Canis lupus familiaris: one gene and its partners. The protein of the gene in region 1 interacts with the protein of each later gene in a pairwise test. Links are inferred from orthologs where the notes say so. Each region holds a gene or a part of one and is shown on either strand. Other genes may lie near its edges.

Evidence for each region.
Region 2: the proteins of RIN1 (region 1) and LZTS2 interact in binary tests that used the Homo sapiens proteins (3 or more experiments, as listed by UniProt). The two-hybrid records come from large-scale screens. The link is inferred for Canis lupus familiaris from reciprocal best matches to the Homo sapiens genes RIN1 and LZTS2.
Region 3: the proteins of RIN1 (region 1) and RRAS2 interact in binary tests that used the Homo sapiens proteins (3 or more experiments, as listed by UniProt). The link is inferred for Canis lupus familiaris from reciprocal best matches to the Homo sapiens genes RIN1 and RRAS2.

Annotation. Positions count from the first base shown.
Region 1 is NC_049239.1:51,476,905-51,481,049, reverse strand, and holds the start of RIN1 (ras and Rab interactor 1), read right to left. Parts: upstream 2,811-4,145; 5' UTR 2,303-2,810; coding exon 2,217-2,302; intron 2,075-2,216; coding exon 1,894-2,074; intron 1,789-1,893; coding exon 1,674-1,788; intron 1,579-1,673; coding exon 1,506-1,578; intron 1,362-1,505; coding exon 1,270-1,361; intron 1,114-1,269; coding exon 376-1,113; intron 162-375; coding exon 1-161. Other genes in the region: BRMS1 (breast cancer metastasis-suppressor 1), read right to left, coding at 3,844-3,851. UniProt on the Homo sapiens protein: Ras effector protein, which may serve as an inhibitory modulator of neuronal plasticity in aversive memory formation. Can affect Ras signaling at different levels. First, by competing with RAF1 protein for binding to activated Ras.
Region 2 is NC_049249.1:13,868,915-13,872,944, forward strand, and holds the start of LZTS2 (leucine zipper putative tumor suppressor 2), read left to right. Parts: upstream 1-1,207; 5' UTR 1,208-1,364; intron 1,365-1,793; exon of another isoform or gene 1,794-2,315; intron 2,316-3,411; coding exon of another isoform or gene 3,412-4,030. Other genes in the region: proline-rich protein HaeIII subfamily 1-like, read right to left, coding at 3,412-4,030. UniProt on the Homo sapiens protein: Negative regulator of katanin-mediated microtubule severing and release from the centrosome. Required for central spindle formation and the completion of cytokinesis.
Region 3 is NC_049242.1:37,646,662-37,650,199, reverse strand, and holds part of RRAS2 (ras-related protein R-Ras2), read left to right. Parts: intron 1-2,068; coding exon 2,069-2,187; intron 2,188-3,538. UniProt on the Homo sapiens protein: GTP-binding protein with GTPase activity, involved in the regulation of MAPK signaling pathway and thereby controlling multiple cellular processes. Regulates craniofacial development.

The DNA of each region.
Region 1 (4,145 bases):
GGACCCGAAGGCTCCAGGGCCCTGGGCCCGGGCCAGGCGGAGGCCTTCAGCCAGGCGGCCCAGGGAGCCATTGGCAGAAAGCCGGTGGCGCAGGCGGGAGGCCAGGATGGGCCGGAGAGGTTTGAGCACGGAGCGGTGCAGCGACTTCTCCAAGATGTGCTCTGAGGAGGAGAGGCGGGCAGGGTCAAGGGGAGCAGGGCGCAAGTGGGGGCCAGCGTCCCCGGGAGGGGGGTGCAGCCAGAGGGGGAGAGAGATGAAAAGGAGGAGGAATCTCTGGGTGAGACGGGAGAATAGTGGGAGAGAGGTGGGGAGCGCGAAGAGCTGGAATTACAGACTCTGGGGCTGAGCCCGTGGAGCCCGGGGCCAGGGTCTCACCCAGTCTCTCGGGCGGCAGCAGCTTCTCAGGGCCCAGCTCTGTGCTCAGCATGGCCCGAGCCCGGCTCAGCGCCTCTCGGACATCCTGCAGCTCCCGGGGCTCAGGGCCAGCCCGCACCTGGGTCAGGAGGTCCTGCACCAGCTGGCCCACAGCCGTCTGTCGGTCCTGCATCAGAGCTGTGGCCACCCGGCCCACCTGCCGCTCAGGCGCCAGCAGGGAGCAGAAGGCCGCGCTCATGGACCGCAGCAGGGGCCTCCGGTGGCCCAGGCGGGGTGAGGTTGCTGGGCTTCCGTGGGCCCTGGGCGCCCCCTCCTCTTCCGAGCTGCTGGGGGAGCCGCAGTCTACCTCCCGGAGGGAGGGTAGGGGTGGGAGGCTGGGGCTGGCGCCCCCTGGCACACAGTACCCCACTGAGCTCTCCCTTCGCAGAAGCTGGCGAGGGGGTAACCTGTCTGTCTCGCTGGGGGCTGCACCTGGCAGAATGGGGACCGGGGGAGGTGGCACAGCGGGTGGAGACAGAGGGCTAGAGGTCTCCGTGGACACACGCACTTTGAAGCTCCTCTTGAATTTCTCCCGCTTGGTGGGGCCCAGGTCCCCTGGGAACAGGGGATTGAAGAAGCACAGGGCGGCTCCCGTACCCTGGTCCAGCTCTTGTGGGGGCCGGGGCTTCAGCCGGGGCAGCAGCTGGTCTTCAGATGGGCCCTGCTGAGCCCTGGTGTTGAGGGAGGAGCTCCAGAACTCTAGGGAAGAGAAACCAATTGGGGCCTCGGGGAGGTTTGGGGAGTTGTGCCCAAATGAGGGAAAGGCACTGACTCAGGCCTTGCATCCACGTGCCTTCCTTTCCTTCTTGGCCTCGGCTTGTCCATCTGTGCAATGGGTAGCAGAAGAGCCCTTACCAATGCCCAGATGGGAGATGGCTTCCAGTTCCTTGTGGGTGGCTGCCTGGCAGATGGCTCTGGGGAGCTGCAGTGGGAGGAGGAGGATGTCTCTGAGGCCAGAGAGAGAAACAGAAAGCCAGGGGTGAGGGATGCTCAGGGCACTGGGGGCTGACAGAACCTGCAGAGGTTGGGAGGACAGGATGTCCCAGGGACCTGGGACCAACGGACACCAGGCACCCTGCAGCCAGGCTTACCGGGTATGGCAGTAGGCGCAGATGAGCTGGACCAGGTCTGGGAACATGAGTTCTGAGCCCTCCAAGGAGACGCCTGAGGGACGGGAAGTGCGGTTGTTCTCCAGAAAACACCCCTGTGCCCGGCCCGGACTGCTTCCAGCCCCTTCCCCCCAGGCCAGTCCTGCTCACCCCCAGGGCTCTCCTGGATGTAGTGGCTAGAGACAAAGGAGGGGCCACTGGCCTCGGGCAGCCGCACGCACAGGGCCTGGCACCCGCGAGTGTTAGATTTCCGCACAAGGAACATCTGCAAGGGACAGGGGTCGGAGGCTCGGGACCTCGGTGTCCAGCCTTCCCCCCCCCCGCCGCCCCGCCTCCGTCGGCTAGTCCCAGGATCAGGGGCCAGACTCACCCCCGGGGGCTCGGTCCTCAGCACATGCAGAGCAGCCGCCGCGCTGGCCCGCAGCTGCAGCCACACGGGCCGCGTGAGCAGCAAGCGCTCCCGCAGGCTCACGGTGCGCCCGGGCCGCTGGGGCCCAACTGTCTGCCACCCACCGGCCCCGGGCACGTCATACAGTGGGTCCTGGGCTGGCCTAAAGGGCGGGCACCAGATCTGAGCAGGGGCCCAGGGGGTGGGACCCTTGCCCAACCCTTTCCCCCCACCTCTGCCCTGGGACAGACCCTGCTCTGCCATCCCTCCCTGTCCCACGGGGCTGCCCTTCCAACTTCACTAACTTTTCTCTCTCCGGGTGCCCAGGTGTGAAGTTGGAGAGGCTGGGGGCTCCAAGAGGTCCAGCCCCTGGCTCCCCAGGGGTTTCCATGGCTGGGAGCTCCTTTGGTTTCTCCCGGTTTCTCCCAGGACTCAGGAAGAGAATCCAGCCCCCAAGGCAAGAGCGCTCACATTCCCAGCAGTGAGTAACACTTCCTGAGGGCGGTTCGCCCTGTCACGCCCCGCCAGTTAACTCTTGTGTGTCCCCTTAGCCCGGGCAGTGCCCGCTTCCTCCGTGTTCAGGCCCAGCCTCAGGGAGCAAGGGTCCTCTCCGTGCAGTGCCACTCCACGAGCCCCGGCTGTGGGGCTGCCACCTCCACACAGCGCATCCTGAAGCCTCGCCAGCCTCCTCGAGGCACACGAGCAGGCGGGAAGGGGTTAAGCTGGGCCCATCTGGGTCCCACAGGCCCAAGTTTGCCCATGGGGCACCTTTAATTAAGTTTGTGGTCAACTGCTCATTTGTGTGCCCTCCCCGCCCCCCGTCAGCCCAGTGGGAGGGCACCCCCTACTGGTCACAGATGACTCATTCTCGAGCCTAACTTGGGTTTTGGATTTTCGGTTGCCATGGAGAAAGGATGCTGTGTCTCCTTGGAAACTAACCCCTTTGCTTAACTGAGGTTCTGGGGGTGGTTCTAACACTTGGCGCTAAATGGGATGGGGGTGGGGGAGTTTGGTTGTGAGGTCGTCAGCACATGGTGCTGCTGCCAGCTGCCTCCTACACTCCCAGGCCCCGCCAGCCTGCCTTACCAATCTGCCAAGTGACTGGGGCAGGTGCAGACATGACCCAGGCTCCAAGCACAGAGCACACAACCCTCCCCACCCCCGACACATGATCGGCCTGTGCCACATGTTGCTTCAGACTTTGCTCACTCCCCCACCTCTGGGAGGTGTGCTGGGAGGGCCCCCCCCATACCCCAACTCAGAGTAGGTGGGCTCCTGCCAGGTAGAGAGAGGAGGTACCAGGGACTCCAGGAGAGCCCACCTGACTCAGGCACTCCCCAGGGGAGCCCTGATTCCCTCGCAAAGTAAATCAGACACACACAGGTCATGCTAGGGTCCCAGGGAAGGTTTTAATTCCAGTCCCTGAAATCTGGGAGACATCAAGAACCTCCTTGAGAAGACCTGGGGAGCCTGCCTTCTCATCTCCAACAACGGCCAGGAGAGACAGGCCCCCCCAAAATATAATTTCTGGTTCAAAGTTCCCAGGAAGTGGGGCCCAGCTCACTAGCTCAGTGACTAGTCCAAGGTCAGCAGGAAGAATGTTGCTTTGGCTTAAGAGGAGCCACATCTTCTTTGTCTGGGATGGTGAGGAGAAGGCTGATCTCGTGGGGGTGGGGGGGTGGGCTCACTGGGGACAGGGAAGACAGTCTTGTCTGGTTAAGGCAGCTCTGGGCCACACAGTGTGCAGGCCCCGAGGAGGGCAGAGGAGTCCAGACCAGTGATAGCTGGAGGGGAAGGCCATGCAGCAGCACTGGGAAGCTGGCCGGACAGACCCCGAGGGGCTTGTCAATCTGCCTTCCTACAGCAGGAAAACGCAAATCCTGGGTTTGCTGCCAGCTGCTCCAAGGGGGCCCTTGGCTCTGAAGAGCAGGGTCATGGTCCTAGAGGGACACCAGAAGGGGAAAAAGCACCGCAAGTAAGAAGCTGAACCAAGAGGGGAACACCAGTGCCTATGGGGTGCTGAGAGGAACAGCCTTGGTCTGGCCCAGGGCAGCTCTACAGCCCTCACCCCTGGGCTCACCAGGGCCACCCCGCTGCTGGGGCCTAGCATTCCAGCCCTCCCTGACTAGTCCTGGTTGCAGGGAGCTTCATCCCCTAGCCCCACCCCGGCTCCGTTTCCCCAAACCCCCAAAGTGCCCTCAAACCCAAACCATTCTAACTGGGGCCACAGAGCT
Region 2 (4,030 bases), on another chromosome or scaffold:
TGGAAGGCCTGGTGTGTTCTCAGAAAATCCTTTAGCTATTTCCATTAGGGGACTTTTGTGAGGTCTCTGTGAATTGGGGATAGAAGGATAGATACGCACTTGCCTGTCTTGCTCCACCCTCCTAGCAGACATCCCCCCCCCACACACACACACACAAAGCACAAATCCGAATGATGGGAGAGGGGAAATTGACACTCCCCCAACCCCACCCCGTACACACACATTCCATTGCACACCTGTCTTAAACTCACATCAAGATTAGCCAAAAGTATGTCTAGAAGTCCCTGGAGCCTAGAAAGCAGTAGGGGATCCCTGGGTCCGGAATAAGGTCCCTGGTAGCCACTGTCCCTGTACCCAACCAGAGTGGATTGAGGCAAATTACCCGGGCTCTTTTTCCAATCGGATATTAATCACCCTGAGAGTTTAGGAAGGGCCTGGCCCAGCTGGGTCCAGCTGGATCTTCAGCCGTGTCTTCAGATTTAGTGTCGTTTTTTCAGCTTTCCAGTCGCTTCTTTACTGCAGGTGAGTTGGAGAAGAGATTAAATTCACTGGACTCCTCCTGTGCAGATACTCTTGCTGCAAGTAAGGCTCAGATACCTGTAGATGACAGTCTGTGCCTTCCCACAGGCTGCCTCGGGTGCCACAGATGGAGCCCTAGGTGCCTTCCTGCAATACAGGGCAACTTCCTGTTTGTGCCTGTGGGTGGAACTTTATGAGTGTAAGGGAAGCCTGGCCATGCTCTGTGGGGGGCCAGAACTGGCAAGTATGCTCACCTGGGTAGGCACCTACTGCGGGGAGGGGGGAAGGGGCTGGCTCTGCTAGGGCAATTCCGACCAGAGGGTGGGGCGGGGTCTGTTTTAGTGAAACCCGAGCCTTCTTTGTCTGCTTCCTAGGGGTTTTCCTTGTTCCTGGGGAATGAGCTGAGAGCCGACCCGGTTTGGCTCCTTACAGGGTAGGGCAGGTGGCAGTAAAGTCCTATCGTCAACTTGGTTAGGCCGGCCAGGTAGTTTAGCTCCCGGTCACGTGCTGTTCGCCCCTTTCCCCAAGTCGAAAACCAAATCCAGAAAGCTGTGAAGTCGGAGGCCAGAGGGGCAACCTGGCCACCACCGAGCTACTGCTGGGCTGGGTACCGGGTCCGCCGTAGAGGGGGTGCTGGGCAGACCACTCCCCTCCCTGGGTCGGGGGCGCGGCCTCAGCCGCCCCGCCCCGCCCCGTTCCACCAGGCCGGGCCCGGCGGGCGCCGGGAGTCCGGAGCCCGGAGCTGGCTGGGAGCCGGCAGATCTGCGGCGGAGAGGTGCCGGCGCTCGGGCAGGAGCTGGGCGGGAGCGGCAGCGGCAGCGGCAGCGGCGGCGCAGGTGGCCTGGGTGAGTGGTGGGGCCGCGGAGGTGTGGGCACTCCGGCCTCCCGCACATGCCGGGTCGGGAGCGAACTTTCCCGGTCTGGGGAAGCTAGGGGGTGGAGTGAGGAGAGGGTCCCACACTGGGGTCCGGGGGGCCCGCAGGCGAGGAGCCTGAACAGGGAACCGACACGGAAACTCACGCCAGTGGGTGCACACGCGCGCGCGCCGAGACCCACGCACATAGGACACACGTGCACTCAGGAGAGGACGCGCCCAGTGGGTTACCCTTGCAGTCCCTGGAGCGGCGCCACTGGCCCGCACGGAGCCCCAGCTGACAGGGTGCTCTGCTGTCCCGTACTTGGCAGGGGTGGGAGAAGGGGCTGCCCGGTGACCGCCGACGGGGGCGGGCCGGGTGGGACACCTCCGGAGGTTCCTGCTTCCTGGCCGCCCACAGGTGAAGACTAAGACGTAAACAGGCGCCGAGCACGTGATCGCTTCGCAGACGAGTGGGCTGTGCTTCCCTCGCCCCCGCATCAGGGCGAGGACCTCCCTCCCCAACCCTGGGCGAGTCTCCGAGGTCTCCTGTCGGGCCGTATTCCATTCTCCGCCTCAAGAAATGTTAAGCCTTCCCCCTGAAATGGGAGCACAACGCCCCCTGGAGTCCGGGTAGCGCAGGCCTGGAGACTCTTGGGCTCGGTGGGGTTACCTGGGCTCCTTGCCTTCCTTCACCCGAACGAACACGTTCGTGGGGCCCTCATCCCGGAAGGTATCGGAGGAGGGCGCTATTTCGGGTGGCAGTATACGGCAGCTCCGGCCCCATACCTCCAGTCTGGGGAGCAGCTGCCTGAGAGCCGGTGGGTCCCTTTCCTACCACCACCCCTCCTTGCAGAACTGGGAGCTCCTCCCTTCAACTGTAGGAGCCGAAAACCCACTCGTGCGAGAGTGGGAGTCCTCCTTTCCCAGAGAATGCATAAAGGTAAATGTCCTCGAAGTACGGGAGTGGGCCTATCCCCCTCCCCTAGAAGGGAGGATGAGCCCCCTCCCCCAGGGAATGAGGGAGTGGGCAGCGGCCCTCGCCTCCCTCTCTGCCCCACCCTCCACCCCTACACACACGCTGAGCCCAGCTGCTGCCTGAGCTTCCGGGCTGGCTGCCAGAAAGGGGAGGAGGCTCCTGGTGCCCCAAGAGGCTGGGATCAGGGCAAGGCCAGAGGAGGGGGTCTCTACTGGGGAGGGGGGCTCAGTCTATTCTTATGTGGCTCAGGGTCTGGGGTGAGCCTGAGGGTGGTTGGGCTATGCCTCCCTTTCCAGGGAAAAAGAAAGAAAAACAACCCTTTCCATAGAGCTAAAAATAGAGCTGAGAGCTGGCCAGGGCTGTGGCCTGGAAGGGGGGGATGCTCCTTCCTGGGGCAGAGGAGCTCTGGCAGGCCTTGGCCTTGGGGGTGGGGATGCAAGTAGGGGGTGGGAGGCCTGTCCTTGGCTGGGGGTGTGGGCATCAGCTGACCTGACCAGAGACCCCTCAGGGGGGAAAAAAGTCTTTGTGGTAAAAAATGCTCGTGAAACACCATGGGTATGTGTAAGTTGTCTGACTGAATGAGACCACCAATGTGTTAAAGATGTTTAGGAGAGGAAGCCCATTTAAGATTGTGACTCGGTAGGAAGGACTCTGAGTCCTTGTGAAAGATTGTGCACAAGGTGTGTGACACCCAGTGTGTCTGTGTGTAAGTTGGCCTGAAAGATTATGGAAGGAAGGAACCTGGAATCACGTGATGGAGGAGACTGTGATTGTGGCTGCGTGGGACCGAATGTGGGAAAAGTCGTGTGGGTGTTAGGAAGATTGTGTTGTTTGCGAGAGGGTGAGACTCTCTGTGACCCTGAGAAGACCGAGGGATGTTGTCAGCTGTGGGACTGGTGTAGGTTCTGACTGTAGGTTTGGACCGCCTCACCCCAGTGATTGTCAGGGGGCCAGGGGCTGCCTCTCTCCCAGCAGTGACCTCTCTTAGCAAATGATTCTCAGGGAAGGTTGGGGAGCAGACGGCCGCGCGCGAGGCAGGCCTGGGCTCGCGGGGGGCAGGCTACAGTGCTGGGCAGTCCGGTAGGGGCCCCCAAAGTTGCTGGGGTGGCGGTGTATCCTGCGAACGCGCCGCCTGGTGGCGCCGCCTCCGCAAATCCGAATCTGCCTCCCTCCACCGCTGGGGGTGGGGCAGGCACGGCCCGAGCCCGGGTCCGCGACCCGGCCCTGGGGAGCAGGGGCCCGGCGGCCGGGGCGGGTGGGGGGGCCGGCCCTCCGCGCCCCGCTCGGGACTCCGAAGCCGGAGTGTGTCTTGCGGGGGAGGCTTCGACCGGAGGAGCGGAGGGGGAAGGGCGGCCGCCGTGGCGCCGGGCCCTTTGTGCTGGAACAATGACCAGCTGCCGCTGGCCCCGGGGCCCGGGTAGGGGTGGAGGGTGACCCGCCGCCGCCGCCGAGTCCCCGAGCCCACCGGGCGTGGGGGGTCCCGAGGCCCGCGGCGCGGCCCCGCGTGACGCGGGGTGCTGCGCGTGTCCGCGCCGGGGCGGGGACGCCCCTCGGACCCCTCCCCCGCGCTGCGCCGCCCACTCGGGCCGGACGGGGGCCGGTCGGGCCGGGGGCGCCGCGGAGGCGGGGCCGGGCCGGGCCGGGCCGGGCGCCTCCGAGTGGCCGCGCGCGGGCCGGAG
Region 3 (3,538 bases), on another chromosome or scaffold:
TAATGGAAATCAACAAAATTGAAAATATAAAATCCATAGAAAAATCTGGTTTTCAGAAGATCAAAGTGACAAATCTAGCCAGAATGACCCGGTAAAAAAGAGCAAAGACACAAATCAACAATATTAGTAATGGAAGAGAAACCATCACTCCAGATCTTACAGATATTGAAAAGATAATAAATACCGTATAACAAAATACTATACTATAAAGAAACTTTATACCAATAAATTGAGCAAGTTAGATGAAATAGACATATGTCTTAAAAGACTCACAAACTACCAAAACTCAAGAAATAAATAGACAACCCGAATAGTGCTGTATCTGTAAAATTCAACTGGTTGTAAAAATCTTCCCTCAAAGAACAATCCCAGGTCCAGGTGGATTTGTTGGCGAATTATACCAAACTGATTGTGCTGAAAGTATTCCAGAAAATTGAAGACGAGAGGACTCTTTCCAACTCCTTATATGAACCCAACATTACTCAGATACCAAAGCCAGACAGATATATAAAAATACTATAGTTGAGTAGTTCTTGTGAACACAGATGTAAAAATTCTTAAAACTTGAACAAATAGAATTTAACAGTACACCGAAGAGAAGGACAGTGCATTGTTACTCAAGTGGGGTTTATTCCAGAAATGCAGTGTTGATTTAACAGGCAAAAATGAATCAACAGAGTTCACCGTTATTAACAGACTAATGTGGGAAAATCACAATCTCAGTAGATGAAGAAAAAAAGGATTTGAGAAAATTTAACATACTGTTGAAAACTTTACAGATGGACTAGCAGGAACTTTGTTAACATGATAAAGGGCATCTGCAGTGAAACCCTGCAACTAACAGTGTGCTTCATGGTGAAGGACTATATGCTGCTGGCACGGCCCTGAATGTGCTAGGCTGTGAGGTCCGGCCTGAAAAAGAAATGAGAGGCATCAGAAAGGAAGCAACAAAACAGTCTTTAGTAGCAAATGACATGATAGTGTAGGAAGGCCTATGGAATTTACAAAAGAACACCCAGATCAGTGAGTTTAACATATTCCCAGGGTATAACATAAATACAGAAAAATCTTGATCCTATTTTTGTAGAGGAAAAGGTTACATCACTGAGAAAAAGACCAGAAGAATGTGGTTCTCTACGGGAGACCACATTTAAATGTACACCCCTCTTCCAATCTGCAGTTTCTGACTTCTCTGCAAGTGTTTACTTTTGTGGTAATGACAGCAATAAAAGTCTTTTTTTTTTTTTTTTTTTAGAAAAATAGTTTTCAGCCACGCTATATAAATGTGATGTAGTTTAGCAGTTTTAGGTAAATGTCATGACTTCAGCCTTTTATACTGAAAACGTATGGGACATTACATTCATCTTATGTTTCTTATCCTGTCCTACTATGGTAGGTTGTTACCTCGGCCGCGCTTTACCTGCTAGTATAAGGAAGGCATTGTGATCGTAATCATTACTCATTTTTCTCATGTATTTATTGTGAGTCTCCTCTGTACCAGGGATTGGGGAATGCAGAGATGAGGAAGACCCATGGCCTCTGGAGGCTTCTGTCCTCTCTGTCCTCACCTCTTTGTTGTTTTCTCTCTAGGCTGGTTGTATTTAAGCTTTTAGTTCCTGGAACTTGGAAAGTGGCTCTCACACATGCCATTTCTTTTGTCAGGGATACTTTCTTACCCTACCCCCACATAACTCCATACTCTTTATTTAGTTCTTACTTTAAGTGTCATTCCTCAGGGGAGCTTTCCCTGATCTGTCCAACAGGGTTATAGAGTCTACTAACACCTTGTACTTTTCCTTCCCAGAATTTATCACTGTTGTATTTGCTACTTTTTGAGTACTCACCAGACTGAAATTGTGTTGCATGGTAATATTTTTGTCACAAATATATTCTGAGTTGTTCTGCGGAGCTGGGCTTCGGTATGGATTGAGCTTGTAAGTCTCAGTTCATTTTATGACAAAGCAGCTTGGCCCGTGGCTGGATTAGCAGCACAGTCTGTGGCCAAGGATTAGATGGAGCAGACCTGATTTTTAATTCTGTACCTCAAATACAACTCTTGGAATTTCAGGTAACGCAGGAAGAAGGACAGCAGTTAGCACGACAACTTAAGGTAACATACATGGAGGCGTCAGCCAAGATTAGGATGAATGTAGATCAAGCTTTCCACGAACTTGTCCGGGTTATAAGGTAAGTGAAACAGATCTTAGCAATTTGTTTTGGGGTGCTTGGTGGCTCAGTTGGTTAAGCTTCTGCCTTCAGCTCAGGTCATGATCTCAGGGTCCTGGGATTGAGCCCTGGGTCTGGCTCCCTGCCCAGCAGGGTGTCTGCTTCTCCCTCTCTGCATGCGCGCGCGCTCTCTCTCTCTCTCTCTCTCTCTCTCAAATAAAGTCTTTCGCAAAATGAAAAGAAGTTTGTTCTAATTTATTGAATTTGACAGGTAGTCACACTATGCTTTTTAAAACTGTTAGCTGAGAAAGAAATTACCATTGAATATTTTTAATAAGAGAGGAGACTATATGTAGAAGTGCTTCTGTGCTAGGAGTTAATGCCCATGATGTGTATTAAAATTTTTAATTAAGACACACTGTATACTACGTACTTCCTACGTATAAAGCTGAATTTAATTATATTGAAGTAAAAAGTACACATAGGGATTTTGAGAAGAAACTATCCTGCTTTCAAAGATGTCAAGTGGCATGAAGATAGGGATGGCAGTAGCTAACATATGAATGGAAATTTCTGCCAGATACTGTACCTAGTACTTCACATGCCATATTACATTGAATTCTCACCACAGTCCAAAAGCTAAATACTATCATTTATCTCCACTTTTGGATAAGAAAGAAGGTACGCAAAGGTGAGTTAACTTGCTCAGAGTTTTGGCTTTAAATGGCCCAAAGGTGTGGGACTCAAATCATATCTCTGATTCTACAGCCTGTGCTCTTCAGCTTCGCTTCTTACCCATCTCCTCGCAGGCTGAGGTAGTAGAGAGTTGGACCTCCCATTCAAGGGGTGAAGTATGATAGCTCAGATAACAAAGGGTTTTTCTGCTTGTTGGTCTAGAAGGCCCTGGCGGTTCAGAAAGTGTTAATGGTTCCAGGAAGCTTGAGGTGATGGGTGAGGTTACCTGGAGTTAGTTTCTGTGTGAGAAAGATTGAGTTGCTTTATATAGTGGGAGGGGTTTGATTTGATTATTTTTAGTCTTGGTGGCTTGGCCTCTACTTGACCCTGGGCTTTTCTAGATCTGCTGGTCTCTCTGTCTGACAGGTATGTGGATAGGGCTGGTGTTAATTATGTATCTAAGACGAATCAACATCTGAGCTATGGGCTTCCTGTGCTTTTTTAGCCCCTTGCCTGGGCATTCTCTTGTGGGGAAAGAAAAGTAAGGATTATAGTTTTTTTATTTCTTAGTAGTTTGTTAAAAGTACTGAGTTCCATTTTTAAATGAATACAGAGTTTCAGTTTTACAAGATGAAAAGAGTTCTGGAGGTGGATGGTTGTACCACATTGCGAATATATTTAATACTACTGAACTGTA